4 linked regions of the Alligator mississippiensis genome follow. The protein of the gene in region 2 interacts with the protein of the main gene of each other region in a pairwise test. Links are inferred from orthologs where the notes say so. Each region holds a gene or a part of one and is shown on either strand. Other genes may lie near its edges.

What was found.
Region 1: the proteins of GOLGA2 (region 2) and NADH-cytochrome b5 reductase 2 interact in binary tests that used the Homo sapiens proteins (3 or more experiments, as listed by UniProt). The two-hybrid records come from large-scale screens. The link is inferred for Alligator mississippiensis from reciprocal best matches to the Homo sapiens genes GOLGA2 and CYB5R2.
Region 3: the proteins of GOLGA2 (region 2) and TRIM29 interact in binary tests that used the Homo sapiens proteins (3 or more experiments, as listed by UniProt). The two-hybrid records come from large-scale screens. The link is inferred for Alligator mississippiensis from reciprocal best matches to the Homo sapiens genes GOLGA2 and TRIM29.
Region 4: the proteins of GOLGA2 (region 2) and USP2 interact in binary tests that used the Homo sapiens proteins (3 or more experiments, as listed by UniProt). The two-hybrid records come from large-scale screens. The link is inferred for Alligator mississippiensis from reciprocal best matches to the Homo sapiens genes GOLGA2 and USP2.

What each region holds. Positions count from the first base shown.
Region 1 is NC_081825.1:202,271,751-202,279,195, reverse strand, and holds the start of NADH-cytochrome b5 reductase 2, read right to left. Parts: upstream 3,002-7,445; 5' UTR 2,913-3,001; coding exon 2,568-2,912; intron 803-2,567; coding exon 730-802; intron 1-729. UniProt on the Homo sapiens protein: NADH-cytochrome b5 reductases are involved in desaturation and elongation of fatty acids, cholesterol biosynthesis, drug metabolism, and, in erythrocyte, methemoglobin reduction.
Region 2 is NC_081835.1:57,572,683-57,580,489, reverse strand, and holds the start of GOLGA2 (golgin subfamily A member 2), read right to left. Parts: upstream 3,012-7,807; 5' UTR 2,964-3,011; coding exon 2,913-2,963; intron 2,683-2,912; coding exon 2,551-2,682; intron 1,731-2,550; coding exon 1,650-1,730; intron 1-1,649. Other genes in the region: DNA repair protein SWI5 homolog, read left to right, coding at 7,628-7,716. UniProt on the Homo sapiens protein: Peripheral membrane component of the cis-Golgi stack that acts as a membrane skeleton that maintains the structure of the Golgi apparatus, and as a vesicle thether that facilitates vesicle fusion to the Golgi membrane.
Region 3 is NC_081839.1:30,574,477-30,581,950, reverse strand, and holds the start of TRIM29 (tripartite motif-containing protein 29), read right to left. Parts: upstream 3,012-7,474; 5' UTR 2,814-3,011; coding exon 1,956-2,813; intron 1-1,955.
Region 4 is NC_081839.1:31,067,021-31,074,526, forward strand, and holds the start of USP2 (ubiquitin carboxyl-terminal hydrolase 2), read left to right. Parts: upstream 1-4,490; 5' UTR 4,491-4,574; intron 4,575-6,298; exon of another isoform or gene 6,299-6,383; intron 6,384-7,506. UniProt on the Homo sapiens protein: Hydrolase that deubiquitinates polyubiquitinated target proteins such as MDM2, MDM4 and CCND1. Isoform 1 and isoform 4 possess both ubiquitin-specific peptidase and isopeptidase activities.

The sequences.
Region 1 (7,445 bases), on a different chromosome or scaffold from region 2:
GGCAGCTCACAGCACCCTCCCGCTCATCATTTATCATAGTGGGACCCAGGTTTTTGGGACCAATGATTGGTTGGATATAAGGTGTAAAAGGTTGAGAACTACTGATATACTTCACTTGGCTGGGCCCCAGCAGAGTCAATAGTATTTCAAGACATGATAACTCCACAGCCCAGCACTGCTCAGTGTTTGTGTGTGTACTCCAGATCCCCCCCAACAAAGGATTCATCTGCTAATAAGCACCTCCCCACCCCCACTTGTGACTGGAAGTAGGTGTTCTTGTCACAAGTCCTGAAACCCTCCAAAAATTTACATGCAGATGGAGTGCAGGGCTGCTTGGTCCATCTCTACCCCCGTGCTGATTGGGGGCGGGGGGGGGGATCATTTCTTATATTTAAATAATTATAGGACCTCTTGTTAGGAAAATAAAAAATAGCTGAAAGCCTGTCAAATAGCATTTATCTGTGTCAAATAGTCACCCTCACTTTGTTATTTCAGCAGCTTCAAGTCAGTAGTCTGACTCCAACCTATATTACACAAGGTAGCATGAGTGAAATACATATAAGGGTACAATAGATCAGAGCCGGTGAGAAGGCCTGTTGTCATAATATGGCAGGATGAAATGTTCAATCCCTTGTTTTCCTGAAAAGCAAATTCACTCCTTGCTCCTTTTTTAAGAGCTCTGTTAAAATCCCAAATTTACAAATAAAAATAAAGTGTTTCAGTATTTACCTATAGGTAAACCCAATACGTGATCTGGCGATGGAAGTCGAAACCTGAAACGCCTGGTATCATGGCTGATCTCCTAGCGATAAACAGAGAGACAAAGACCTGAGTATTATAACAATTCATAGAGCAGTGCAGCATTGCTTTGGCTTTGGAAAACAGCACAATAAGCTTCAGTAGTGAATCTACTCTCCATTTACATACAAGCCAACTTTGAGACATGAAGTACAACTGGTCTGACAGCAATCTGCCTGATCAAGACTTTCAAACCTAGTTATAAAGAACTTGATACTAAAGACTCCACTAACCCACAGTGAAAATGGGAAGTGAATTTTGCCTAAGTAAAAAAAGGCTACACGAATGAACCAAACCTCTTTAGCCCCTCTATCATCATTGTATACTGGACACATTTCCTGATGTATGGTAGGATTTCCAGCAAGACAGGACATGTAAAGGCACAGCCTTCCTCAAGACAAATTTGCAACTCCAGTTTCTCACATATATAAAATTAAAGGTTAGGATCTGTATAGCCAAATAAACTAACCCAACCATTTGTAAAAGCTAGCTGAATATTAATGTAGGCATAATATTTTAGGAACCAAATTAATATAGTAGGCTGCTTGCAGAAGTGGAACCCCCCCCCCCCCCCCGCCAAAAAAAAAAAAACAACCCACAAAAACGGTGCTTTACTTTGAACTTGGTACATCCCCGCACCGAGCCCAGCACATGCCCGGAAGAGGCATCGTATTAGCTGAACCCGGCTTTCCCAATGTCTGTATAGATCAGGCACTTTAGTGGGCTTTTTTGGCACTTTTATCTAATAGCTGATTGGATCAGCTATTAAAGTGCCAAAAAGCACCGCTGAAGCATCTGATCTATACAGACACTTCAGAGCTCAGTCGAAGTAATAAGCTGCTGCTTCTGGTAAAACAGGTTTTTCATTTTTTTTCCCCCACATCTGTCAGCACCTGTAATGTCTGGGGAAAAAGATTCCAAGATGCTTCAGCTTTACCCCACAAATGTATTATAAACATTTGGAAAATAGAGGATCCTACGCTAAGTGATGCAACTTTAGAAACATGCATAGAGAATAAAAAGGTTACCTGGCCTCCTCAGGCCCTGCTTTCCCTACCAGTAAGTAAGAGAGGAATATTAATATTAAGCTTCTCATAGAGCATACTAAAGCATGTGCAATTAAACACTAGCCCAAACTGACAACAGCAACATCCGCCTTGAACTTTGGAGTGCCAGCTTTAAAATCTGACCTTGGAGCTGAACCTAGAGCACAGCTGTCCACCACCCCCATCCTGTCCCCCCTTGGGACTTTGAGCTTGCTGGTTTTGAAATCTGTGGCTTGAATGTATGTCTATAACAGTCAGTGAAGCGCTCTCTGGTTTTTCGGTGGAAGATGGTCAAGATGATTAGCTTGTAGTAAGCCAGCTGCTCAAGCAGTTCCCCAATACCACTTGACCCTGCCCCTTGGTTCATTCCAACCCGTAGGACTTTGATCAGTGTCAGAGGCAAGAACAGACCCCAAATCTCAATGTCAGCCCCATGCTCTCGCCGCTCGGCTGCATCCCCTCCCCAAGACGGTGTGGACTGTCTTGTGATCAGAGTCACACAAGACAGTCCTAAAAGGAGGCCTAAAGCAGGGCCCCTGGCATGTGGGCCAGAGCGCGGCACGTGAAGGCATTTTGCTTGGCACTCGAGCCGCAACAAGGAGCCGGCCCCTCACGGCTCCCCTGCCCCTGGCACGCCAACATTATAAAAGTTGAGGCCGCGGGTGTTTTTGGCACTGCCCAAAACCGCTGCCAACCCCTGGCCTAAAAGAAGAGCCTGCTCACCTCTTTCTCCACCAGGGCCAGCGGATACTTGGCATTGGGATCCCTCAGCGCAATGGGGGCGCGCGTCCTCGCCGCCTTGAAGACGAGCAGCAAGACCGAGGCGCCCACGACCACCGCCGCAACGAGCACGGACACCTCCTGGGGACAGCGGGGCAGGAAGGGCCGTGAGGGTGCCGGGATCGCCTCGGGGGTGCATGGGCACGGGCCCTCCGGGCGCCAGGCGGGGCTGGCAGGCAGAGGCAGAAGGGCAAAAGCTGAGGCTGCGCCGGGCGAGGCACCGCTCCCGACACCCCGCTCGGGGCTCCCGCCGCCCGCCCGCGCCCCGCTCACTGCGCTCAGCTCCATCGCGGCCGGCTCCGTGCTGGGGGCGGCCCAGGCGGCCGGGCTCGCGGCGCCACGACACTAGACGAGACCGCACGCCGCGTCTGCCGCTCGCCCCCGGCGCCTCTCTCCGCCGCCCTTCTCCTCGTGCCTTCTCTTCTACCGGCACCTGCTGCCTCCCCTCCCGCCCCGCTTTTCTTCTTTTTCATCTTTCCCTTTGTCACCGTTTGAGGTAAAGGGCTGCTGTTAATGAAACCGAGGTACGCGGGAGATTAACGCCGTGTGTGTGTGTGTGTGTGTGTGTGTGTGTGTGTGTGTGTGTGTACACACACACAAAATGCAAAATCTAGAAGTCTTGATTCAGAGATGATACCTTTTATTAGACCGACTAAGACATTGCAAAAAAAAAATAAAAAAATCTGCAAGCATTTGGGCTCTCACACATGTATACACGCACACGGGCCTGTGTGCGTATGTATGTATATAAAAATGTGTGTGTGTATATTTATTTATATGTCAGTATACGTGTGTATAAATACACATATACACACACACAGATGCATATAAATATACACATATAGGCACATAAATACACATATATGCATCTGTATACATGTGTATATATATGTGTGTGTGTGTTTATGTCTGTGTACGTGTGTTTGTGTGTATTTGTGTGTGTATATGTGTATACATATTTGTGTGGGGGGGAGGTGTATAATAAAGTTATACAGTGTAGCTGTACTACTTAAATTTCACATCACAGTAATTGATTTGTAGTGTACATATAACTATACACACACACACACACACACCTGTAGACTTAATTTTTTTTTAATGTAAATGAAACAACTCATGGAAGTAATTTTATTTTTTTTTAACAAAGTTGCTCTACACCCACATATATATATATATACACACACACACACACACACACACACCCCCCATACATGCATACACACTCCAACACCCAGAAACTAACCCAACCATTTGTAAGATCTAATAGAATATTAATGCTTGCATAATATTTTAAGAACCTAATTAATGGTAAAGGCCAGGCAAAATAGATTCCAAGATTCTTCAGTTTTAAGCGTCAGATGTCCCACAGATGTGTTATAAATATTTGGGTAATGGGAGACTGTTAATTTTGGGTGTCCAAAGACCTGATATTCAAAAATTATTGTTGCAGTTTATTTAACATTTCATCTGTTCAGATCACTACTGTCCCTGACTTTCAGTGCTGCTGCGATTCAGACACGAAGTGTTTCAAGTTGGCTGTACAGAAAACGAGGAAAATACATTGGTTGAGGGTGAAAAGCTTGATTTAAATTACTAGACTTACACTGAATCACTGCTTGCAGTGTCTGAGCTAGCTGGTGTATCGCTACAGGGTGGTGCACTGTGGTAGGTTAGATATATTCTAGATATAAGGGAAGGGATGCCGAGAAAACTTCCCATTGTGTGTGTAATTATGAGCATCAGTACAAGACAACATAAAGCACAGAACCCCCCAGCCGCGTTAATTCTTCACTTTGCAGTGAGCAAGCTTGTAAAGATATTGAAAAAAAATCATTCAATTCCCTTGCAAGTGAGAAGTGTTGATTACAAAAGAGAAATACAACCATCCTGTTTCTCAAACCCCTCATTTTCATAGTTTCTATTATCTTTACTTCCTTGTTCCCTCTGTGTTCTCTCACCTGACTGAAAAGCAAGAGATTTAACATCAACATACTGGTCAATATCCCCATTTCTCAGACTGCCAGAGGACAGAGCTGTGCTCTGGAAGATTCCCTGGCTTACATATAGTCAAAAAGCCTGAGGTTGAATCGATTCAGTCTTTGCAGGTTAGTCTAAGCTGCACAGGTTAAAGTGACACAGAAGTGAACATAGGCAGACAAGGTTCCTTGGGTGAATTTGATATCTTTTATTAGACCAACCCAAATAGGTGGAGAATATTTATTAAGCAAGCTTTCGGGTTCAAAAACCCTTCGTCAGGCTAAGGAAGTTTCAGCAGTTGGTGTGTGCTCTTCCTGGATGGAATGAAAAGCAAACAAGCCAGGGGCTGGGCTGGGCTGGGGAGTCAGTTGCCAGGCAGATTATAACGTATCAAAAATCCAATGTCTATATTTAGCCCATGATCTCTAGTATCTAGGAGATCTGGGAAGTGTTGTGTAAATTTTCCTGGAGGATCAGGACTGAGAGATTGGAGAGAGAGTGGCCCTCCTGTGAGAAATGTGCCCCCACAGGTAATTGCGTATTTCTGTCTTTGATGGATTTCCGGTGTGCATTCATTCTGGTGTGCAGTTGTTGTCTGGTCTCTCCTACATATTTTCCATCAGGGCATTTGGTGCATTGGATGAGGTATACTACATTTCTGGAGGTGCAGCTGTAAGATCCTGGGATGCTGATGGCTCTGTTGTGGGGTGTAGTAATAGTGGGGGTGGTGGAGATGTGTTGGCAGGTTTTGCATTTCTTGTCCTGGCATGGTCTGGATCCTTTTGGTGTGTTCTGGGCTTGAGGAAGCTTGCTTCTGGTGATGAGGTTGGCGAAGTTCGGTGCTTGTTTAAAGGCTAGGATGGGTGGCTCTGGGAAGATCTTTTTTAAGAATAGGGTCTCTGTCTAGTATGGGTTGCAATTTTTTGAGGATTTTCCGTACAGGTTCAAGGAAGGGGTGATACGTCATAACTAGCGGTGTGCGATTTGTGGGGGGTTTTCTTCTGTTTTCTTCTGGGCAGCAGTTCTTCACATGGTATCCAGGTGGCTCTTTCAAATGTGCGATTTACCTCTCTGGACAAGTGTCCTTGTTAGGTGAAAGCCTTTTTAAGATTGGTGAGGTGGCAATCCCGGGTGTTCTCTTCAGTACAAATGCGGTGGTATCTGAGGGCTTGGCTGTATATCACAGCTTTTTTGGTGTGTTTAGGGTGATTGCTGGTTCTGTGCAGATATGTATGTTGGTCTGTGGGTTTCTTGTATACTGTAGTCTGTATTTTACCCTTCTGGATACTGATCATTGTGTCTAAAAAGGAGATGTTGGTGCTGGAGTATTCTAAAGAAAGTCGGATGGAGGGATGGTGACTGTTGAATTTCTGATGGAACTCAATCAGAGATTGCAGGTTCTCAGTCCAAATGATGAAGATGTCATCGATGTATCTTAAGTACAGCAAGGGTTTGATGGTGCAGTTCTTGAGGAAGTCTTCTTCCAGGTGGCTCATAAAAAGGTTGGCATACTGTGGGGCCATTTTAGTGCCCATAGCTGTTCCCATCATCTGGAGGAAGTGTTGATTATTAAAAGTGAAATTGTTGTGTGTGAGGATGAAGTGTATAAGGTCAGTAATATCTTTGGGTCTGTATTCTGAGTTGTAATCTTGTTCCTGTAGATATGTAAGGCAGGCTTGGATGCCATCCTGGTGTGGGATGTTGGTATATAGGCTGGTAACGTTCATGGTGGCTAGGAGTGTGTTGCTGGGAAAGTGGTCTATGTTTTTAAGTTTCCGTAGAAAGTCTGTAGTGTCTTGTACAAAACTTGCTCTGTGGGTGACAAGCGGTTCTAGGATTGATTCAACGAAACCTGATATTTCCTCAGTTAGGGTCCCATGGTTGGATATGATAGGTCTGCCAGGGTTCCCTTGTTTGTGGAGTTTAGGGAGCATGTAAAAAGTCCCCGGGTTAGGTAGCGGGGGGATCAAGGTCTGTAGTTTTTCTTGTAGTCTTGATGGAAATGATTTGATGGTATTTTTGAGTTTTTTGGTGAAAAGGGGAGTAGGATCTTCTTGTAGTTCTTTGTAGTAGGTGGTGTCAGAGAGCTGTCTCTTGGCTTCCTTTATGTAATCCTCACCGTTTAGGATGACTATGGCTCCTCCTTTATCTGCTGGTTTTATTACTATTTGGTGGTTAGATCTTAGTGATTCTATGGCCTTTTTCTCTGGTAGAAAGACGTTGTTGTGGTGGCGTGTGTTGCTGATTATTTCATTGTTCATTCTTTCCCTGAAGCAGTCAATGTAGCTGTCAAAGTTAGGGTTTCATCCACTGCGAGGTGTCCAATCTGATGTTTTTTTGGGCTTTTTGGCATTGATCCTTTCCTGAATGTTGTCAGAGGATGAGTTGTTGTTGGGAGTGGGTTCAGTTTGGTCATGGAAATATTCTTTGAGGCGTAGACATCGGAAGAATTCTTCTAGTTCTCCACATTGAAGTATTTTGTTAGGGTATTTTTCTGGACAGAAATTTAGGCCTTTAGAAAGGACAGATTTTTCAGTTTTGGTAAGCATGTGTGTGGAGAGATCTATAATATTTGTGGGTTGGTTGCTGCTTTCAGTTTCATCGAGTCTGAGGTTGGAATGTTGTAAGGTGTTGGTGTTGTTCCTCTGATGGTTGTTTTGTGGTTGGGGAGCTTGTTCTTGGGGTAATTTGTTCCATTTCTTCTTTTTATGTAGGATGAATGCTGTAGAAAGTTTTTCGTAGTCTCTTTGTATCCACTTTATATTGTCAGGGAACATGCATGGATTTCTGTCTTTTAAGTTGTTGTAGTATACGGTGATTTCCTTCCTGAGTTGGTCTCTTTTG
Region 2 (7,807 bases):
AAGACAACTGGGAAGAGAAATTCGAAGTATAGTCTGTAATGAGAGAGAGAGCAACTTGGAAATCAGTCTGAGGCCCTGGGCATTGTTATCTGCAGCCTCCAGGATGAAAATCTGTAACAGCTACTCAGTCCAAAATGCACTGGTGCATGCAAAGAAAGCAGAGAAAGGCACTTGGGACATGAAGACTAATGGAAGAGTAACGTTTCCATATTCACAACAGCACAAACACAGCAGGTATGGATTAGGCCCTCATTTTGAGATTAGCCACTGACACAGAAAAATTATTCGTACATCCTACCTCAACCTGTCCTTGAACAAGCATCAATTCTCTTTCTGATGTGTCCATCTGATAAGCTTAATATAAATTATATTTCCAACGTGCTGCATTCAACCCCACAGGAAAGCACCTGTCAAGTGCTCTTACCATGCTAGCGCTGCTCTCCCATATAACATCCCACAGAAATACCCCACTTGCAAGAGCTTTGTGCCAGGCACTGCAAGTCTCTGATGGGAGAGCTGCTGCATTAATATGCAAGGAAAACTACTGAAAGTCTTATTTTATCTATCACATCATGCAGGTTTCACAGCAGAGTCCTCTACTCCACCTGGTGATTAACATAGTTATATCTATGGGTAGAGCAAAAAGAAAAGGATGCAAGGCAGGTATAATGATATGCTGGACTTGAAAGCTTAAGGTGAAGAGAGTTGTGGACACTATACAAGTTGATAGGTAATTGAGGTTTTAGGAAAGCAAGAACTAAGTACTTCCTGAATCATCATGTTTTATTTTGCATTTTCTGTGTTTCTATCAACATTTTAACCTTCTTTAATTTATGAGACTACTTTTATGAAACATGTTGAAAATTAAAAGGCTGGTAGAAGCTTGCTCTCTCATACTTGTATTTTATTATAGATAAGAATCTTCCCAGTCCCTTTGCTGCCAGAACTACAGGCAACATGAAGACATTAGAGCTAGTTAACACTTGCTACAAAGTATCTGACTTCCTGCCTAGACAGATTTAAAACCATGCTACTTGCCAGATTGCATCACGTGTGCAAATTTCATCACCTGTCACAAAATGAGCTGGCTGGAATAACTACACAGTTTACTTAGGGCAACTGCTTGATTAGAGATGAGCAAGAACATGTCCTTCAGAGATGAGGCACTAATAAATAAAACAGCGACATGCAAACAGGAAGATCACAGATCTAGAAAATAAACCCAGTCTGTGGCCCAGTTTGAACAATGTTTTTATATGCCCCATGCCGCATCTTTGTGGGAACAAAGTGTATGGGGAAAAGGAGTGGCGAGGTGTTTACTACTCATACCATCACCCAGGATCCCCGATACAATTCCAAACTGCCTGATCTCACAAGTCTATCTTAAGGGAAGCTGGTACATTTCACATCTTTGCGTTTTAAACGTGACACAAATCAGAAGGAAACACACAAGTAGGAGCAACAAAGAGGCACATTAAAAGGAAAAAAAAGCTCAAGGTTAATGAAAACAGCAACAAAACTCAAGCAACTGACAACAAATATGCCTGAATGAAGCTTCATCCAAAAAAATCGAGAGGCAGTTTAAAGAGAACTTGAAGCATGCAGTAAGGACAGCAAACTAGTCAGAGGGATGCCGAACACTGCCTCACCTTCCTCTTGTCCAATGAGGGTATGGCTACCCCATTGGATCGATTAAGGTCTGACACCAGCACCTTCAGTATGTTCTGAATCTAAAGGAAGTGAAAGAAAGTGGAAAGAGAAATGGCTCAGAAAGACAGAGTGAGACACCAATCAAAAGGTGGGCTGCAACCAAAGGACCTTGCATTCACTCTCCCTTTACCGAAATGGATGTCGAAACATAGGATCAATCTTAGAAAATGAGGGCTGGAGGGGACCTCAGGAGGTCAGATCTAGTCCAATCTCCTGCTCAAAGCAGAACCAGCCCCAACTAGATCATCCTAGCCAGGGCTTTGTCTACCTGGGTCTACAAAATCTCTAAGGATGGAGATTTCACCACCTCTCTGGGTAGCCTGTTCCAGTGCTTTACCACTCTCCTAGTGACAAAGTGCTCCCTCATCGCTAACCTGAATGTCCCTTGCTGCAACTTGAGACCCTTGCTCCTCGTCCTGTCATCTGCCACTCCTGAGAACCGCCATCCTCTTCGTTACCCCCGCTTCAGGGAGTCCAAGGCGGCTCTCACCCCTCATCTTCCCTTCTCCAGGCCAAACAAGCCCAGTCCCTTCACTGCTCGTGTGCCCCGACCCCTCACATCCATGTCAATGTTTTTCTTGCTGGGGTCACTTGATCCCAGCTGACTTCCTGCCCATGGCAGGGTGGTGGGGGCTGGACTCGATCTCACGAGTCCCTTCCAGCCCCCGATGTCTATGAAATCTATGAAATCCACACTGCGCACTCTGGAGTCAAGAACGGCTTCGCCAGCGGACCCGGCCCCAGCCCGTGGCGCCGGGTCCCGTTAGCGGCTGCGGGGTGCGGACCCCATCCGTCCCCGGTGTGTATCACGACGCAACCGGGCAAGCGCGGGACACTCACGTTCTCGGGCGACGGCCTGTCCCTGTCGTCGGCACCGGTCGGCGTGTCGGGCCGGCTGCCCTCCTTGTTCTTGCGCTTCTTCTTGGCCGCGGCCACGGGCCCGGGGCTGTTCTTCTGCTGGAACTCCTTCAGCTGCGGGGGAGGCGCGTCACCCGGGGACCAGGCCCGGGGGGGGGGGGGGCGAGGCCCGGCCCGGGGGGGGAGGGGAGGCCGAGGTGGCTCGAGGAACAGAGGTTTAAATGGGGGGGGGGGGGCCCGGTGACAGCCGCCGCCGCGGGGGGAGGGGCTGGTGCGGCCCCGCCCGCTCGGCCAAGGTCACCGGTGCCCGAGGAGGGGGCCGGAGCGGGGGGTGGGGGCGTTACCTTCTTCTTGGCCGCGGCCAGCTTGCTCTGCCGGCTGCCGCCGTCCGCCATGGCCGCCACGTCAGCGGGGGCAGGCTCCGCCCGGCACCAGACACCAGGCACCAGGAACCAGGCAGGCGGTGCCCGCCCCCGCGCGCGTGCGCATGCGCGTGCGCGCCGCCTCTCCCGCTCGCGTGCGCGTGCGCGCCTTCCCTCCCTTGCCCCGTGCGCATGCGCGCTGGCGTTCCCCTTCCCCTCCCTAGTGCGTGCGCATGCGTGCGGCCCGCTTCTTTCGTCCCGCGGTGTGGTGTGCTCTCAGCCTTGGGCTCCTCCTCGGGCCTCCCCTGGCGCGGGGACTCCGGCCACCCCCTGCTCCTTGTTTAGGAAAAGGCACCTGTCACAGGGCTCAAAAGGGGGTTGCTGGCAAAATGCCTCCAGGTCCTGAAGGAAATATGCCATATTTGTTGCCAGGAGAAAGGCAGGGCTGGGGGGGAGACACACCCAGGCCTCATCCTGCTTCATGGCGGTGGTGAGCTCGTGAGGGGACACAGTCACACCTCTGCCTGGGATCTGTGCAGCATATCTCTGCCCCGTCTGCCCAGGTCTCTCCCTTGGGCCTTTGGGATATGAAGCAGGTTCAGGGGTCGCCTCGTACAGTGTTAGGGTTGTGGGGTTGAGGTGGTGGGTGGTATAGGATGGTTTGGACAGGACTCATCCTGCCTCAGGCGGGGTTTGGACCAGATCAGCGGTTCCCAATTTGTGGTATGGGTGCCACCAGTGATACGCAGACCACCTGTCAGCGGTACGTGTTAACAGATTTATTATCATTACTTTATCCGACAAAATTTGCTGATGGTACGTAAGGTTGAACTGAAAAATGTGCCGGTGGTACTGAAGGTTGCATCGTTTTAAATTAGCGGTGCGCAATCTCTCAGAGTTTGTGAATGGCTGGACTAGATGGTCTCTGGAGGTCCCACCCTTTGTGATTCTTAGCTGTGTGCCGGGCTAATTTCTCCAGGAAACAGTTGTGCCTTACAAATTTAACCTGGTGTTTATCCAGTCTTGTCAAATCTCTCTAGGTTTCTCTATCATGCTTGAGCCCTGCCTCTGGGATTCATGGTGTGTGGAGGATGTTGCTTTTTTTTCTGGATTGAATCTTGAATTCTTGGACCTCCCTCCTTTAGCTTATTTCCTTTAAGCGGAGTAGGCCAGATCAGGTCAGTAGTCCGTTGAATCTGTTATCACTGCCTCCAGCATTTCCTCAGGGGTAATGTTTCAGAGAAAGATGAGTGTCACCACTGCACATGCGGTATGCTCACACAGTTATACCGGGGTAAAGACAGGAAGGAAGCTCTTCCTGACATGTGCCTAGTGCAGTGCAAATGGTTTTCTTGTCTTGCCCTGGGTTTGTATTGCAAGAAGAAATTGAGAAGCACTAGTGAGAACAGGAATGTAAACATCTGTATAATTGGGTGTGGTTCAGGTTTTCAAGCACTGAGAAATGTGACTCATTTTAAACTTTGGTTCTCCTTCAGCCAGCTGCTGTTTTTTTAGTATTTGCCTGTATTGGACATTTTGTCCAGTTGGGATGTTGAGATGTGTGTTCCACCAGGGTTAAACTTGGGCATAAGATTTCAGAGGAATGCTCAAGGGCTGCAAGTGGTGGTATTGCAGCAGGTGTTTCCCTTTCTTCTAAGTCACCATTGAATCCAGTCAGACATGGTATGGTGCGTGTGCTGTATGAAGGGTGGTGATGATGGCACTCTTTTCCTTTGAGACTCAGTTCTGAGTCAGCTTCTCAAGCCTATTAAAGGATTTTGTGCTTAAAGAGATGCTGCCTTTTGGATGAAATGCAATATTTAGGTTTTGACCACTTTGAAAAAAACAACAGTTATGGTATGTTTGTAAGAATTGGAATTTTAACCCAGGTGTCCTGTCCTCATAATTATTTGGATAGTTATAATCTGCACCAGCTAAAGTTTCGGATGCTGTTTCCAATGGAAATAAATATTTTTTACTATTAACTGTTGTGGGGGTGTTACTTTGTGCTGTTAAATAGATCTTTGTATTTTACACCAGAGGTTGCTGCATTTCAGTGGTGGGTAAAATATGTCATTTGTATATCAGCTGTTTATAAAGTATTTTTGTAGCCTTCCAGGTCAAAGTTAATATATAGAAATACTTTGGTAGAATACAATAAGTTACAAAAAATGAATTTTGTTAAAAACAAAGTGCTTGGATACAGGTATATTTTCTAAGCCTTGAGAAATTTAAAAATGAAATAGATACCACAGGACAGGTTGTCTTCTTGATTTTTGTTTTAAAATTTCTCAGGGAAGCTAGCAAATAGTATGTTCATATCAATCGATTTATCCTGCTTCACTTATGTGATGAAGACTAATTATTTGTGCAGGGAATGTTAGTCAAGCACACCAAGATGAGCACTACCTAAATGATAAGTATTGTTACATGTAACAGGGGTATAGGTTGTAGCTGTGTTGATTTAAGGACATAGGGAGACAAAGTTCTTTGGGTAAATCTGGTATTTTTTATTAGAGCAACTCAAATTTTGAAGTGTAAGAATAAACACTTGACACAAGCCTCAAGTGTCAAGAAAAATGCTTGAAGAGCTGTCAAACTACTATGATGTAATTTTCCAGCTTTCTCTGTTTCTGCTGTGCTCATGCCAGCTCTGTAGACATGAAGAGTTAGACAACAGATACATAGCCCCCCACAGTGTTTCTTCCTACAAGTTGCATGGTTTTGGAGGATTAATGAAATAATTGCTTCTGGGTCTCTCTCCCAGTTATACATCAATGGATGTTGTAAAGCTCTCTGAATTCACTGAGAAGCAAGTAACATGTACAGGTGAGTTTACGAGCTCATCTTCACATTCTTGATCCTGTTCTTCCTTAATATGTAAACTTTAAACTTGATTTGTAATAGCAGTCAGTAGGATTTTGCATACTTTGAAAAATAACTCTTGTGTCTTGCACTTCAGAAATCTTAAATCTTTTACTTCATTGTGTGAGACTCGCATAACGTCTTAGCTCTGAACAAATAAGAGGTTAGACAGCGGACTCAAATATATGGTTTGGATAGGGCTGAGCCTGCCTCAGGCAGGGCGTTGGACTAGATGACTTCTGGAGGCGCCTCCCAGCCCTACTTCTCTATGATTCTGTGATAATAACTATTACCCAAACAGCCACAGTTACACGTCTAGTACCAGGCCTTATCTTATCTTTGGTATATTTTGCTAACTGAAGGTGATTTAGAGATGGCAGAGTACAGAACCTTTTCAAAATTAAATCGGAGTGGGAGCTGTTTATAAAAGGAAGCTGAATGCAAGATAAAGATCATGCAAGATAAAGATGGAAAAGATCTGCACGACTGTGTGACCATCTCAGTCTGTGTAGTGTTTCTGCCTACGCTCATGATGATTGGATGCAGGCTGGTTCTGCAATACTCAAGCAATGTGGTTTTTGTCACAAGGCAGACAGTGAGGGTTTCTATCTAATACCCCCTGCTAGGAGAGATTGCATGCAGGCTGGTTACATCTCTAATCTCTCCTAGCAGGTTCTTTCAGTGCATGTTATATATACTGTAGTAGTGCTGGACACATCACAAGGACTGCACCATTACAACCAGGGGTAGATCTAGGATTTTAAAAAGGGGGGTGTAGCTGGTGCATCGCATCATCACATATAACATCTATTTTTCTCCAGCTAAAGAGAAATCAGAAGCTTTACTAGTTTGCTAGGGGCCTCGTGCTCTATTTTTCAGTTTAAGATCAAAGTGAAAACAAACAAATCTGTATTGGAATGTGCATTAATCTGCTGGGTTATATATAACGCTTTAAAAAGAACACAAGAAATGAGGCAAAAAAGGTTAAAAGATGCTTTTTAATTAGTCCTGAAAGTTAAATGTCCATGTCTTTTTAGATTCACTGAACAAAACCTGGTTTTCCTGAGTGCCTTGACAGCACCTCAGCACTTCACTGGGGGTCATGTCTACACCTGAGATTATATAACCACACCTAAGTGAAGGTTTTTAGCCAGAGCTAAAACCAATCTACAGCGCTGTGAAATAGAAGAGACACAGGACCAGGAATGGCAAACAGACTGCAGCATTGCAGAAGAAAACATAGGTTGCACAGTGGAACATCAAGACCATTAAAAAGGTCGTTCACACCTATGGGATGAAGAGACATTAGCAGGAAACAGGTAGATGATCATGAGCGCTGAAGTCAATTAACTCAGTGCTGCCTGACCCAAAATGCCACTGCCCCTCCCAGGCAGGTGGTGTTACAGTTTGGGTAGAGCAGAAATCAAAGGGAAGGGGGGCGCAACTGCCCCCCACCAGATCCGCCCCTGAATTCAGCCCATTGCTTCTATCCTGTGCTTATTCCAGGACCCTAAACGCAAGTGACAGGGAAGGAGCAAGCTCGAGCCTTCCCCCTTCTTCCAGAGGAGAATCCAGGCCCTGGCAGCGGTTCACCAGGCCAACATGCCTGCCAGCCCCTAGACAGGCTGCAAGAAACCCTCCGCGCCCCGCCCTGCCAGCCCCAGGCAAGGTCAAGAAACTACAAGCCCCAGCGGGCCGAGCGGCGCCAGGCCTCCACAGCCTACATGTCCCTACAGTCGGCTCCCCAGGCGACGGGCCACCAGCTCCCGGTATTCAAAGCGGCGTCAAGCCGCCACTAACTACAAGTCCCAGCAGCCCCTACAGCTCCCAGCATGCAAAGCGGCGGGGAGACCGCGCGGGCAGCCCTGGATGCCCGCGAGCCCGGGGAGCGCGGCGCGGCGCTGCGGCCATTCCCGCGCCGGTACGAGCTCCCTCCCTGCCCCGAGGGCTCCGCGCCTGCTGGGGCCACTGCTCCCTCCCCTGGGCTCGGGGGGTGCCTGGCCCTCGGTGAG
Region 3 (7,474 bases), on a different chromosome or scaffold from region 2:
GGTCCCGGGCCAAGCCTGCATGAGTGGATGGCATAGATTCATAGATGTTAGGGTCGGAAGGGACCTCGATAGATCATCGAGTCCGACCCCCTGCATAGGCAGGAAAGAGTGCTGGGTCTAGATGACCCCAGCTAGATGCATGTCCAACCTCCTCTTGAAGACCCCCAGGGTAGGGGAGAGCACCACCTCCCTTGGGAGCCCGTTCCAGACCTTGGCCACTCGAACTGTGAAGAAGTTCTTCCTAATGTCCAGTCAAGCAGCTATGCAACTTGACTTCCGAACAAGCTAACTCCCTCAAGTTGTGACGTGACCAGGCGCTGCAGTCTAGAGTAACGCGTGCGTGTGTGATTCATACTGATAAAGCCCCAGACCCCTCAGGCTTAGAAGCAGGAGAAATAACACCTTTCAGGAATGCATCTGGGATCCCTCTGGGGCTTGGGTGCTATATTAATGAGAGCCAAGAAAGAATGTAAAGAGAGCAGACATCAAAGGAAGCCCTGGATAAGTTTCCAGCAACAGCTTATTTTTTTCTCTACCCTGCTCCCTGTTTGCAGGCAGCAAGTCTTGTGTCATTTGGAGGCAGGAATTAACCATGAGTTAGAGGAACAAATGGTGGCTTGTATTTTTTGGAAAAGACAGATTTAAGAGAGGGTCTTGCAGAGATTAGATGCAATATTTAAGGGGATGGATGCAAGGCAGATGCTACCAAGCTGCTTGAGCTGGCGTGAAACTTGTGAACGAGGAGGCATGAAATTAACTGCAGAAGAAATAAGCCCTGCAGGGATTTCAATGGGGGCTTCTTTATGCAGAGAGTTGCAGAGATACAGAGCAAGTTATAACAAAGCTGGGTGCAAAGAGCAGCCAGACGAGGACAGTATACTGGGAACGGGAGCAAGAGGGCATGGAAATTGGGCAGCCACTCTGCTTCCTCCCTACCATGGCTGACGGTTTGAGATTCATTTAGGAAGCTGCTACTCTGGCCCTCGCTGAGAAGGTTTAGGGATTTCCTTCCCTTCGGCCCTGGGAAGGATTAAATCACATGTCTGTATTTGGGGTTACTGAAGAACTGGTCGTTCTGCCCGTACAGGCATCTGTATCATCATCTACTCGCCGTGGCGTTGGAGGATCTAACAACACACACAAAATGGATGGGTTGGTGGGTGGAGGCACGCCGATGGTATTTGGGAGATCTGGCGCCACCTCCGGATTCTGCCGCAGGCTGTATGCAACCTTGACCTACTTGTGCCAACCTGTAAAATGGGGAAGGGTGATCTCTTCTTTCTGCCTTGTCTCTCAAACTCACAACACCTATACAGCACCTAGTACAAGAGGGCCCCGGTCCATCTGGAGACTGCTCTTGTAATAGCAACAATACCCACGTCCAGAAAGCAAGCAGCAGACAAACAAATCAAAGGCCAGAGTGTCTGTCTTTAGCCTGGTGGTACTACACTCTTCGGCAGACTGCCTTTCCATTAAAACTGCAGCCCTGTGAGCTTCTGCACCTTTCAGTCCCACTCCAGCGCATTTGTTACCTTCCCCAACACAGCGTCAAGCAAGGCTTTCCATAGTTGGGGTTCAACATTATCATCTCAATAGGTAAATGAGCCCAGAAACATTGCCACCACCGTTTGCACCACCATTTTGCTTGGCAGAAGCAATCCTGGCTTTTTTTAATGCCTTGTTTTCACCTTACCCACCTTCAGACCCTCCTCCATGCCCATACCCATGACAGGTCTAAATTGCCTTTCCCAAGTATGGAGCAAGAACAACAGGGACCGGACCCCCGAATGCCAAACTGCCATACCCAAAGTCAGTGCCCCGTCAAAGTCCGTGCAAGATTGCTGTGCCTTGCACCCTTGGCCTCCCCGCAGAGTCACGGGGAGAGAGCAGAAAGGCAGTGACCTAGTACTGAATCAAGGGAAAGAAGAATAGGAAAGGGCAGCCAGGAGCATTACCTCTTTCCCTGCTTTCTCGACCTCCACCGTCACCGTGCTGTGGTTCTTGTGCTCCTGGAACATGCAGAGGTAGCAGATGCACATCTGGTCTGTCTGACAAAACAGCTCCATGGTCTTCCCGTGCACCGGGCACTTCCTCGCCTCAAAGTCCCTGATGGGGTCCAGCAGCTGGTGATCCCGGAAAGCGGCACCCTCCAGATGGGGCTTGAGATGCAGGTCGCAGAAGGAAGCCTGGCACACCAGGCAGGACTTCACGGCCTTCTGCTTGTTGTCGATGCAGGAGTCGCACAAGACATCTTCCAGCTTCACCCTGGGCCTTGACCCAGCCACACGCTCAGGCCTGTTGAAGTTTAGTTTCCTCAGGTCCCCGGTCTCTACAAAAGGGAGAGACGGCTTCTTCAGGTCCCCAAACTGCGAGCTAGGAAACAGTGGCTTCCTTCCTTCCCCATCAGTGGCCAAGAAGTTCTTCTTCAGCTCTGCTGCCAGGAAGGGTTTCTTGAAGTCCCCCTTTTCTGTGAACGAGAACGGGGGCTTCTTGAAGTCTCCCAGCTGCACTCCCGAGTACGGCAACTTCTTGGTGTCCCCCGAGTCCATGCTGAAGTAGCTTGACCGCTTCTCATCGGCGGACTCCACCAGCTGGATGATGGGCCTCTTCCATTCCCCGCCAGGGAAGAGAGAGCTCTTCACTTGCCCTGTCTCCAGAGACGAGCCCCCAGTGCTCTTCACCGTCTCCTCTCCCCTGCTGGGGCTGGTGGGCTTCTTGGCTTCCTCTCCATTTTTCTTCGGGCTGGACTGGCTCTTCGCATCCTCTTGTTTCACAGCGGTGCCGTTTGTCCTGGCTGCGCTCCCCGTTTCCATTGCACGGCAGACCAAGCTGGCTCTTCTCCACCGCTTGTTCTCTCACCCTCGCTCCTTCCTCAGCCCCTGAGAAGAGGGTAGGTCTCTCCACTGGCTCTTCTTTCTGAATTAACCTTGCCAGTTGTCTCTCCGCAAGGAAGGGAGGTGGATTGGAGGCAAGGCTCTGCTAAATGACACACCTGGACGTACTGGGAGGGGGAGGAGAACACCTGAATTGTGCTGGGTTGAGGCAGAGAGAGACGTAACCAAAAGATGAGACTTTACAGCTGTGCTGGCAATTATTTCATGCAGTCCCCACCCAGGAACCTTCCTGTCTAACCAGGTTTTTGGCGAGGGGGAAGGGTTGTTTATACACATGAGGATTAAAAAAAATAACTTTCATTAAGCCACAGCAACCAGTTCTGCCGCTTGTGTCGTCCCTAATTGCTTCTCGCCGTCGGGAATGGAGAGGTAGGCAGGGTTGGCAGGCGTGAGATCCACAACATGGGCTTGGTAAGTGGGTCATGCCCATGCACAAAAATAATTAGGGCCATAATTAAAATTAATATGGAGAATAACATGCATTAAGCTGGGATCTCCAAGGTTCAGCAGGCTGAGCGGTGGAGGGAGAGGAAGGGGAATGGATCACGCTGCGCGTGATTGACCCTTGTCACGTGTTTGAGATGTTGGTATGATTCAAGTTGGAGCCGTCCACAGTTTTAGGTGTCCCAGCGATGAACTTAGCAGCCAGGAGGACGTGGGAGAAACAGAGTAAACATGAACCAAAGCATGGGTGGCCACTTACTTTTCAGTGGAATATGTGACCGTCGATCGTGTGACCAACAGACCTTAAAAGCAAAGCCCCCGTCCACCTTATTGCATTGCAGTCATGGAGAAGACTCTCTCTTCCATATATACCAGCTTGCCACCCATATTCACCCCAATAAAAGGGCTTTGCAGTGGGTCTGGATGGTGACTAGATGTGCCGTGTTTCAGACCTTGATGGTCACAACTGGAAACACTTTGCAGGGCGAATTGAAAAGATTAATCATTTAAAGGGTTGAGCATTTTTTTTCCCTGTTTAATTTTCACCTTTTTACCCAAATGAAATTTAAGAAAAATATTTAATTGAAATAAAAGGAATAGGAATTTGGAGACGCTTCGTCTCTCTTCCCTATGCTCTTTCCCTGTTTTTTTCTCACTGCTAGAAAACAGGAGGAGGATAGAAAACGTGAAGACACCTACGCTGTTTCCTCTTGATTCAGATCAAATAGAACGGTTTGCTTCTTGTTTCAATGAAAACCCCTTTGAAAGGTACCCGCATGTTTGTGATAAACCAGCAGTTGCATCTCCACTAGGTGCAGATGCAGGCATTGCAAAGGCCCCTGTGTCCTTGGGCGGCTTTCAGAGACCGACAGGCACTTGTACCATCTCAGCTCTGATTTCGCTCCATTGATATCAATGGAATCGCTCCTGGTTTATAGCTAGGGAGTGAAAGGACAGGCCAGCCCGAAGACTTGCTTAGTTTCATTTTATAATAAAAAGGGGGTTTTGCTTTGGGATGGGATTGTCCTTTTAGTGTCTCATAATAAATAAATATATTTATTAGAGCTCTCCAAACCGCGAGAAGTGAGGGCTCAGGTCTGTAGTGTGCAGCTGGTCCCTAGCACAGCTGGAACCACGGCCCTTGGTCTGAACGGTCTAAACTTTGGGTCCGAGTCCTGAAATGAGCTTCATGGCATGAATTGTGCCCATGCAAAGGGACGTGGGGCTAGGGAGAGCCCATTGGAAAGCAGCACAGCTGCTCCCTCGATAAGGAGGAAGGATTCCTAGACACCAAAGTGCCCTTCTCTGCAATCGCAGACTTCCAGCTCTGGGTTTCAACCCTTTTTAGCCTCTTCCTGAAGAGCAGGAGCTCTCGACTGTGAGGAACCCAGCCCAGACGATGTTTTGTTTAATGGATGTGAGCAAGAGGCCCCTTCAGCAATTTCTAAATACCAGGCTTTTATTAGTGGGACAGCGAGCCCTCCCTGCATGGACTCCAGCTCCCGGTGTACGAAAGGCCAATGCCATTTTTTACAGAGCAAATCTTATTAAGGGAGAAAAGATTGAATTTTCCTCCCTTCACCTCCTGGCTTCCTCAGCTGAGCTGCTCTTTTCCAGCAGCAGCCCCGGCAGATCTCAAGGTGATTAACAAATGTTCCAGGTGGAGTAAGTCTGCACTCGCGTGTACGAGGGGAAAATCCGCAGAGCCTTTCTTAGTGCTTGAGAAAGGGGAGAAGAAAAAAAAGCACGCGGCAACTTGGCTCAGGGAAAGGCAATTTAGCTTCCATCGCTCTGCGGTCACTGGTGCTAATAGAGTCTGGGCCTCGGTAGGCAGTGCAAGTGAATTAAGGGCTTAGAGTCTGATCTCGGTTACACTGATGTAAATCCCAAGCACCTCGGAGCTGAGTACAGCTAGTCTGGACAGGCTCCAGCGTAACTGTGTTCAAGGATCCGGCCTGGTGCTCGCTCCTCACCGAGATGACCCTGCCCTGGTCTTGCAAACGCAACACGAGGAGATGCTTGTGCCCACGTAAGCTACCCACATGGTTCCTCAGCAGGATCAGGGCCCTCCAGCAAGTTGGGTAACGTCTGTTCTCTGCCTTTGTCCACCATGGCTAATTCAGCTCCTTCATTAGTAGCAATCATGGGAGCACTGTTTCAGGTTGTCGCTGGCATCGTAACCAATGGCACCCAAAGCTGGTTCTGTTTTTGGTAAAGCCCCAGCTCCTGGAGTCAAGTGATGACGTGCAGAGATGCATCCCAAAGGCAGCTGGGTGAAGAACCCCAACATGAAGCGGTTTATACAATGGCATGGCTTTTAAGTCAGCCTCATATTTGCGGTGAGAAGCTGGGCGTCTGATCTGGAGAGCAGGGGAGCCTGCCTACCCCGTCCAGCCTCTGCAGGCCGTAGCAGACTCCCGCACCGTCATAACCGGCCCCCCTTGGGCGTTGCCTGCCTTGGAGCAGGGTGATAACTAGACCTGGATAAGCAAGGGCTTAAGTGCATCTCTGGAGCTGCCCTGTTTCAGGGCCTGCTGCTTTCAAAGGGCTGTTTTTCCGCAGAAGACAACGCAGGGAAAACCCACTCTCGCTCTTCTGTCTTCCACTTCCTTCGCACCTCGCTGCACCCACTTTTCATGACCCGTTGCCAACCATGTTCCCGCCAGGTCCCGCCCTCCCTCTCCCTGTTATTCTTGGCTCTTGCTGGGATTCGCTCCTGTTTGCACTTGTCTGAAACACGAGCTTGTTTGATTTTTTTCGGTGTTGTTTTCAGGCATTGCTGTACCTGTCTTGAGTTGCTGGGTATCCGTGTCTGAGAAGGGCAGTGGGGAACAGTAGCAGGTCCTAGTAGCTTTCTGGATGGTTTGTGTCTCAGCTCCCCAAACTGACTGGCAGGATACCACTGCCAGAGTCCCATACCGGCTTTACTTTGCATTTATACGACTTGTTTAAGGCTACCTGTACTGGTGTCTTACAGAGGATGGAGAATGAGGTAACATTTTAGGACTTGTGTCTTTTGTATAGCCCGTTCCTATGCTTCCTGCAGGGCAGAGCGCTCTCCTATGCGGTGCCCCATGGTAGGTCTGGGGCATCTACGAAGGTTTTTCACAGGCTACGCCCATTTGTAATGCAGGGCAAGGCCCTGATTCATAGTATACACCCATACTTGGAGCCTTTCAAGCCTCCTCCGTGCCTTTCATGTGGGGACCTTGGATTCTTTTGAAGGGATCAATAAACGAAGCTTCACAACACCTCTGCAAAGGAGGTCAGTGTTACTAACCAGCACAACAATTCGGGAAACTGAGGCACGGGGAGGTGCGCTGGCTAAAATCCTTGTGTTAATAAATGGGGTCAGGCCTGGGTGGCTTTGGGGATGGTGCCAGGTTTGGAACCGGCGATGATGCGACTGCCCTGGCCCACAGCTATTTTCATACACGTTTTGGTGATTGCTTTCCTCCTCTTTGATTTTTCCGATTTGGATTTTGCAGTGCTCACTCTCACTGGGCAGCAAACTCTTTGTGTGTTGTTCATACTGCGGTAGTACCGAGGAACACCCATCCTGGGCCCACAACCACGTGTGCTAGGTGCTGTCCAAATGCATGCAGGGTTGCTTTTTTAATTTGTTTCCATAAGGGACATATTTTTGGCTTGCTTGTTTATAAAAAAAACAAACCGTGGGGAGCCAGACCAGGGACAGATCAGTCTGGTTTAAAATGAACAGAATGAAAAGAGTTGAAAAATTCCCAGGCTGCTTAGAGAGAGCTCTCCTCCCCAAAGCAGATTTGCAGACGCCGAGGCCAGATAAAGCCACTGGAAGGCAGTGGGAGGCTGGGTGCCAGTCCTAATCCATAAGCCCCTGGCCTGGGTCTTTTAACAACTCAGTGGCAAAGTTCAGCAATTCGGGCTACTCATTGCCTCTTCTGTATTAGTCATTAGACAACCTCCCCATACACCCCTGTCTCCAAAACACCTAGTATAGCCTCTCAGCTGTGAATCCCATTCAGGAAACCTAATATACAGATTACAGAGCCATCCCCAATGCAATCAGGGAGTATATAAACCAGTCCATCCAAACCAGGCACTGATGATCAGTGACCGTGAAATACTGCTTTTCTCAGATCCGTGGTGCAGTGCCT
Region 4 (7,506 bases), on a different chromosome or scaffold from region 2:
CCAGGCTAGACGATATCCCGAGCCCTGAGCTCCCCACCGTGCCCTGGAATCCAGTCCTTAGCTGTGACGAGAGAGAGCTGCTGCAGAGAGACCCCTCTCTGAGCTAGAGACACCCCCTCCCTGGCCACAGCCCCCCAAAAGTGGGGCAGGGCAAGCCAGCAGGCTCCTTGCCCCTCAGCGGGCTGGGGACGCCCATGCTCGCACCCCTCCCATCTCCCGGAGCTGGGGCTTGTTCTGTCCCCTGATGCAGGAATAAGAGCAGGGCCAAGCTGCCCACCCCAGGCCAAGGCACCGATGCCCTGGGAGTCTCTGTAGGTAGATACCCCCTCCCTCTCATTTGGGGTCCAGCAGCTGCATCTCTGGCCATCCCGTCACTGCTGGCTGCTGTCTCCCTCAGGACAGAGGCCGGGGGGGTGGGACCCCTCGATGCCAGCGCTCCTCCCTCCGTGCTTCCAGCTGTTTTGCTCCAGCCCAGTCTTCCTCCAGGTCAGGGCTCCAGTCTTCCTCCCCCAGCAATTTCTGCTCCCTGGGGCTGGCAGCCCCTTTGCACCTCCCCTCTGCTTTGGGGCCCCCAGGCCAATGGGGGCCAGGGGAGGCCCCCGAGAAGATGCAAGAGAGGCTGCACCGGGGCAGCCTTGGCCCCCACCCTCTCCCCCTGCGCCAGCGAGGGGGGCGCAGCCCGGCCCCGATCCGTGATCCGTGCCCGCTGTCGTTGTGTCCCCGGCTTGCTGCAGCTCGACCCGGCGGGGCAGTGCCTGCTCTGCCACAGAATAAACCCACTGGATGCCCGAGCCTGCCCTGTCTTCCTTGCGGGTGCCCAGGGATGCCCGGCCTGGCCCAGCCCAGCCCAGGCCAGGGAGGGGGGACCGGGCTCCATTGTGACATCGCGGCCCGGGCAGCTCCGCCTAGACACCGGTGCTGGCTGCTGCGCCCGGAGCCAAGTGAGTGCATCGCAGCCGCCTCCTCCGGGCCTAGGGAGCGGGGCGATGCCCACCTGCCTGCTCCATGGCAGTGCCCCCCAGGCTGGGGGAACTGCGCCCCCCCTCCCCGGCTGGTGCCCACTGGGGTTTGCCCCCAGCTTTGTGCGGGCCAGGGAGTGCATGGGCCAAGCCAACCCATGCCAGGTAGAGGAGGGCACATGGCCCCTCACACAGCACGTGCACATGAGGTTGTGGCACATCACAGCGGCACATGTGCCACGCCGTGCTGCACGTGGAGGTTGTGACCTCAATGCCCAAGGGGCAGGGGTCATGCCAGGCTGCAGGCCCCTCCCTGCAGCAGGGCGGAGCGGGGAGCAGCTGGACCCCTGGCGTCACCCTCCTGGGGGTGGAGGCCAGGGCTGAGGCTGTCCCGGGCGCTTTCCCATTGCCGCCTGCCCCATTCCTGGCCCGTAACGCAGAAGGGAGGGAAATGCCGGGTTAATTGCATCCTGCCTAATTATCCCAGTGTGCGCAGACTGAGTCACTGCCCGCCAGCGCCCCACGTCAGCCCTGGGGACCAGCCCTCAGCGGGTGGCGTCCCGCCCGATCCATGTTGCTCTGGGTCTGTGCACGGGGCTCCTCCTACGGCCCCGGTATGCCCCAGCCCACAGAGCCCCAGGGGTGACCGGCCCGTTGCCACAGACCCACCAGGCAAAGCCGGCTGAGAAGGGCCTGCCCTGTCTCGCTTGTGAGGACCTGGTTGCTGCAGGGGACAGATGCCTAAGTGCCCTGTGACCTCTCCCCCCAACCTGTCTGTTTGCACCATCCCAGTCAGCCCTGCCCTGTGTCCCAGACAAATCCCTGCCTCTCCTTGTAGGGTCCCGTCCCATGCTCATCGCCCTGGTGCAGGAAGGTCCCAGGGGCACCGGGTCCCCGTGGCCTGGGGGATGGGGCAGGCCTTCCCCTGCTCTCAGCAGGTGCTGGATCAGGATCGGAGCAGCCTGCCATCCGGTGACTCAGACCCTGCATCTGTTGCCTGGCTGCTTCAGCGCCCAGAGGCCCTGCTGCCTGTCCCGGCTCCGTCCCATTGCCCTGTCCCCAGAACATCGCCCCAGCCCTCCTCGCTGCCTTACACCTCCCTCCAGGCCCTCCAAACCTTGGTCTCCCCTGCCTCCAGCCCCCGGTGCCTCTGGTTACCCGTGCCCCCCACCCTCTGTGGCAGTGCCCTCTTTCTGTGGGTGCAGGGCCCCGCTGGATTGGGCCCGGTGTGCACTGTGCTGCCCCTTTAAGCTCCCCGGGCTGGCATGCCAGAGGCGTGCTCCAGCGCCCAGTGAGGTCAGATAAGACACTATATTTATCTAGCCGGTAACCTGAGCTGAGAATTTCTTCAGCGGCTCACGCAGCGGCTCAGCCCTCGGCCCATTCCAGCCTGGTCCCCAGCAGAGCCGTCTGCGCAGACATCCCGTCCTGTCCCGCAAACAGGTTAGTAGCCATCGGGTTTCTGCTTGCGCGCCAGAGCCAGCACCTCACTGATCCCGACGTGACCCCGTCCCGGCTGCTCCGGTGTCGCCCCATGACAAACCGTGACCCTCCGGCCCTGCTCGTCCACACGCAGGTGCGTACGGGCCCGCTCGGGGCTTACGGGACTAATTCTGGGGCCCCGAGAGGCAGAGAAAGTTCAGGGAAGACTTAGCCAAGTTCACTGCTGCCTGGAAAGGAAGATGCTGAGCAGCCCGGGGAGGACATGGCAGCAGCTCCTGGCACCCATCCTTTGCTTGTTCTTTGTCGTTCGACCCAAAACCAAGCATCCTCCACTCGCCTACACAGCCCGCTGGGCACAAAACTGGCCTGCTTGTCGTCCAGTCCCACCAAGTCCCCCTTGGCCATTGGGTGTCAGTCCATGCCACGCAGTGGGTTTGACCGGGCTGTGGAGAGCTTGGGCAGGGGGCTGGCTGCGTCGGGCATTGAGAGCCAGCTTGGACTTTCAGCAGCGGAGGTTGGTGCCCTCTGATTGCTGCTAGGCAGCAGGTGACCTGAGTTGGTAGGTCTCGGCTTGGGACCCAGGGGACAGACCGGAAAGCCGCCCCTGGAAGTGCTGCTAAATAGAGCAGAGAAGGGCTTTGAAAGCTGGGGCCTTGGCCAGCTCTGTGATACGTGTGGGTGGGAGAAGGCCCATTGCCACCCAAGAGGGGAGCCATGGGGATTTGGGCACCTTGCACGCAGGGAGCAGAGCTGGGGCTCCAGGGCAGGAGCTCATCCTGTGTCTCCTGGCTCCAGCTCCAGAAGATAGTTGTGGATCTGGCCCCACAACACAGACCACGTGCAGTCTGTGCCCACCCCCCAGTCATGCCAGCAGGGCCAGCAGGTGATTTGCACTGAGCCCCGGAGGAGTTAAGGTGCCTGGCTGATCCGCTGATAGGCAGCGTCCCCTGGGCCATGGAGCTTCTCGTGCAAGGGAAACGTGCAGGCAGCTCCCAGCCCCCAGATAACCCCACGGGCTGCAAGGAATTCCTGGCATAACAGACCTCGCGGCCCGGCAGCAAACAGGCCCTTCCCCTCGCGACCCTCGGAGAGGGGCATTCCCTCTCCCCGAGCCTGGAGGCCTGGGTGGAGTGGGTCCATGAGGGGTTCAATTTGGTGTCCCACCCTGCTAAGAGCTTCGCCGGGCCCCCTCTCATCCCAGCCCCCAGCAGCCGTCCGCTGGTCGGAGGTGACCCTGCCCCGGGAGGCAGCGGATGCCCCGTGGTGCTGGGTACGGCTTGTTGAGATCTAGGGTAACCTCCAGGCTGGGACATTGTGTCTCTGAGGCTTTGACTCCGCTTTAGCACCTGGGTAAGCAAGAAATGCCTGTGCCGTGATGGCTCTAGCGCGCAAGCAAGCACTGGGGCTGGGTAAGCCAAGTCCATGGGGACAGTGTCGGTGCAGGGAGCAGAGCAGCATCCCCCGGCAAGGTTACCGGGGTGGGGACAGAGCTCTGGCACCGTGGCCCAGGCACTATTGCCAGCAGGTTTGGGAAGGCACAGGGTCCCCTCCGTCATGCCCAGCCAACCGGCTCAGTGACCGCCCTCGTGTGCAGCCCAGCACCTCCAGGCCAGCTCTGCAACCTCCTGGAGCACTTGGGGGTTGTCTGAGGGGACCAGGCCTCTCTCCTCACCCAGAGGTGGAGCCAAGCCCCTGCCTGTCTCACAGAAGGCATCTCTGGGCTGCCAGGCCTTGGCACACTTTCCTGCCTTGAAGCTTCAGCTCCAGACTACTCAAGAGGGAACGGGGCAGTCTAGTGGTGAGGGCTGAGAGCCAAGACTCCTGGGTCCCATTCCCAGGCTCGCCTCTCCCTCGCCACATGACTGTGGACCGGATGTGTCTGTGCCTCAGCTTCTCCATCTGCACAATGGGACTAATGACAGAGCGGCAGCCTCCCAGGGAGGGTGGAGGCCTGCCTGAGTCACTGGGGCCTGCTGCGGCCTTTGAAGTCCCAGGTGCTATAAAAGCACCGAGAATTATTCCAGAGAGAAGCTGGGCTGGTCGGGATCCTCCCACCTCGAGGTCTCAGGACAGGTGTCTGGTCTCTTGCAGTCCTGGGGCCCAGGATGGTGTGACACAGCCCGGGACGCTCCGCGGAGCAGGCAGCTGGCACAAAAGTGGCGATCTTAGATGGTAAGCGGTGAGGGGCCCTCCCGACACGGGGCAGAGGCACAGGAGTGCCTGGGGACAGGGCACTGGCACATGATCGATGTCCTCAGATGTAGCCTGACGCTGGGGCTTGGCCTCTGTGGTCTTGCAACATGTTCTGGCTGATACCTCCCCCGTCCCCCATAGCTTTGAGCTCATATTATGTTTCTTGGAAATGAATTTCCACAGCTGCTTGTTTCACCCCAGAGGTGGCTGCCTCGGTCCTGGCTGGGGGGCTGTCAGGAGAGGTGCTTTCTGCGTCAGCGGGGGGACACGGTCATCAGGGGGAGAGTCCAGCCCTGCGTGTGGCTCATGAGAGAAGGGGCCCTGTTGCAAGACGGGCACTGTGTGGGGGGAAGAGGGACTCGGAGAAGTGGGGCTATGGGGTGGGCACTGAACTGGGGCTGGTCTGTGCCAGGACTGGGCCCTGCAGCTGCCCTGGCACCAGGGAGCCTGCTCTGGGCTAGGCTCCGGGGCAGCCCAGAGGGTGTCTGTGCTGAGCTCACCTGCTGCTGAAAGGGGCCGGGAGCTGCGTGGCCTGTGCCCCGTGAGCAGTCCCCATACACCCAGTACCCGTTGGGTCGTGCCACCCTTCAACGCGGCTCCTACTTGCCTACAAACCAAGCCCCTGCCATGCCAAGGGCAGCGGGGCTGGGGCATCAGCTCCTGCTGATGGAGGGAGGGAGCAGCCTCGCCCCAGGTGGATTATTCACCCCAGCGGCCTCCTCCCCAAACAGGTCTGTGTGCTCGGGCTGGCTTTGCCGGCTCAGCGTTCCCGACCCACTCAGGGATGATTGTTTCCTCGAGAGGACGGGATCCCAGCCCGATGCTGGCGCAGCCCAGAGGCCCAGACAGAAAATCCCTGGGGCGTGGGCAGGGGCTGAGACACTGCTGTCCTGGGCCTGAGCAGCCGAGGCACGAGCGTGGTTAGCATAGCCTCCCCGGGACCCGTGACCTCCCTCCAGCGGCTTCCGATTTCACGTGGATCGCTTTCACCCGCCCGCCTGCCAGTGGAAAATCCAAAGCTCCTGCACCGCGATGGGGCCCGAGGGCCATGCACGGCCCCCATGACCCGAGCCCCTGCGCCTGGGGGGCCTCGGCCCCTGCTGGGGGGCATCATTAGGGCACAGACAGGGGCCTGGGCTGCTAGTGCTGCTAGTGCTGACAACTCTGGGTGGCTGAGCCGGACCCAGGTGGACCCGGCATCCTTGGACTGTGGGGCAGGACTCGGGCTGCCTGGGAGAGCAGGCGGAGGCCAAACCCGGTGCTCCCCGGCCGGCGTGGCTGCAGGGGGTTGGGGCTCAGGACCTCTGGAGCTCCCCCTGGCTCTGCATACTGCAGCCGAGGCCCCTGCACATCTCTGCCTGCTCCGTCAGGGCCTTGCTATGTGTCCCCAGCTGCTGACCTCACTGCCCTGGGGCTTGTGGCTGTGTCACCGGCACCGTGGCATGTGGGTCAGCAAGGCTCCGGGGATGGGTGGCGTAGCAGATGCTTGGAGATCCCCAGCAGTGAGGCACGGCGGGTGTGGGTCAGCCTGCCCTCGACCGTGGCCCCTGTGCCAGCGGCAGGCAGCGCGCCGCACAGCCGCTCCAGCCAGCGAGTGTGTGCCAGCCCCGCCCTGGCACCCGGCCAAGCGTGCCGAAATCCCGCCCAGCCATGCCGGGGAAGGGTTTTGAATCAGGGTCGTTGCCTTGGTGACCGGAGACTCTCGGAGCCATGCGAGCCGCTGTCCTGAAAGTGTGGGGAAGCGAGCGGCGGGCCCACAGGACTGTCCAGGGGCTTCCCCGGCACCAGGTAATGTCCCTAGGTCCCTTGGGGACCAGCCAGAGCCCAGGCCTGGGAGCCCTGACCCTGCCCCATGCCAGCGGCTGCCCCTCCGCATGGAGCTGCACCAGCAACAAACTTTCCTCCCAGTTGCAGCCCAGCGGGTGCCCAGGTGCGCCCCCCTGCATCTCACCTGGGGTCTGTTGGGAAGTGGGAGTGGGGGGGGGTGCTCTTGAGAGCAGTGCTTGTGACCCACCAGGCTCTGTTGCGGCGGGGGCAGGGGGTGGGGAGCTGGCCAAGGGGGTGCCCTGGGCACCCCCTCTGGCATGCAGTAGTGCTTCTGCCTTCAGGGCACTGCCCAGGGCTACGGACACCAGTAGGACTCCAAACTCCTCGGTGCTGTTGCTAGCTCTGCTACTGACTCATTGGCTGGCCTTGGGCATGGCACTTACCCCACCCTGGGTCCAAACTTGACTGACTGCCTGTAGTGGGCACTTCCAGCCATGGGTGTGATGCCCCCCAGGGGCATCTCCCCCCCCCCCACATCCATCCCATAGGTGCCCAGAGGTGAGGCTGGCACCAGGAGTCTTGGCCTGGCGTCTTTGCTCTCCTGTGCTGCCTCTGGTTGGCCCCCAGTCTAGCCCAGTAACACCCTTCCCCCCTCCCATCCCAGAGCTCTTGAATTGGGTCAGGTCTTCCCCCACCCCCAGCCCTTTCTTGCAGCAGCCTGGAGCAGAGCTGGCAGCTCCTGAATAGCCCCGGCCTCTGCTTCTGGAATACCAAGGTCCCGAGGCCGGCAGGGGAGGGGGCATTCCCATGCTCAGCCGCTCCAACAGGGCATCCCGTGGGCATCACAGTAGCATGCTCCAGCCGGAAGCGCGCTTGCGGGGCTGAATTATTGATGGGGCAGCAGCGTCCCTGGGCAGATCAGGTGTAGCGTGGCTGGGAGCAGGTGGCAGGGCCTCGCTGTGGCCCTGATCCTTAGTCTTCCCATGGTTTCCCATCACCCTTCCTTCTCTCTGCCCCCCTGCACTCCCAGGTCCAGTCCTTCGCTCTGTTGTCTTCCTCTGACCACAGTGGGGCACGAGGGGGTCCAGCTCCCGGTCTCTGCTGCACGTGCCGGTCAGGCTGTGGGGAGGGGAACTTCTGAGGT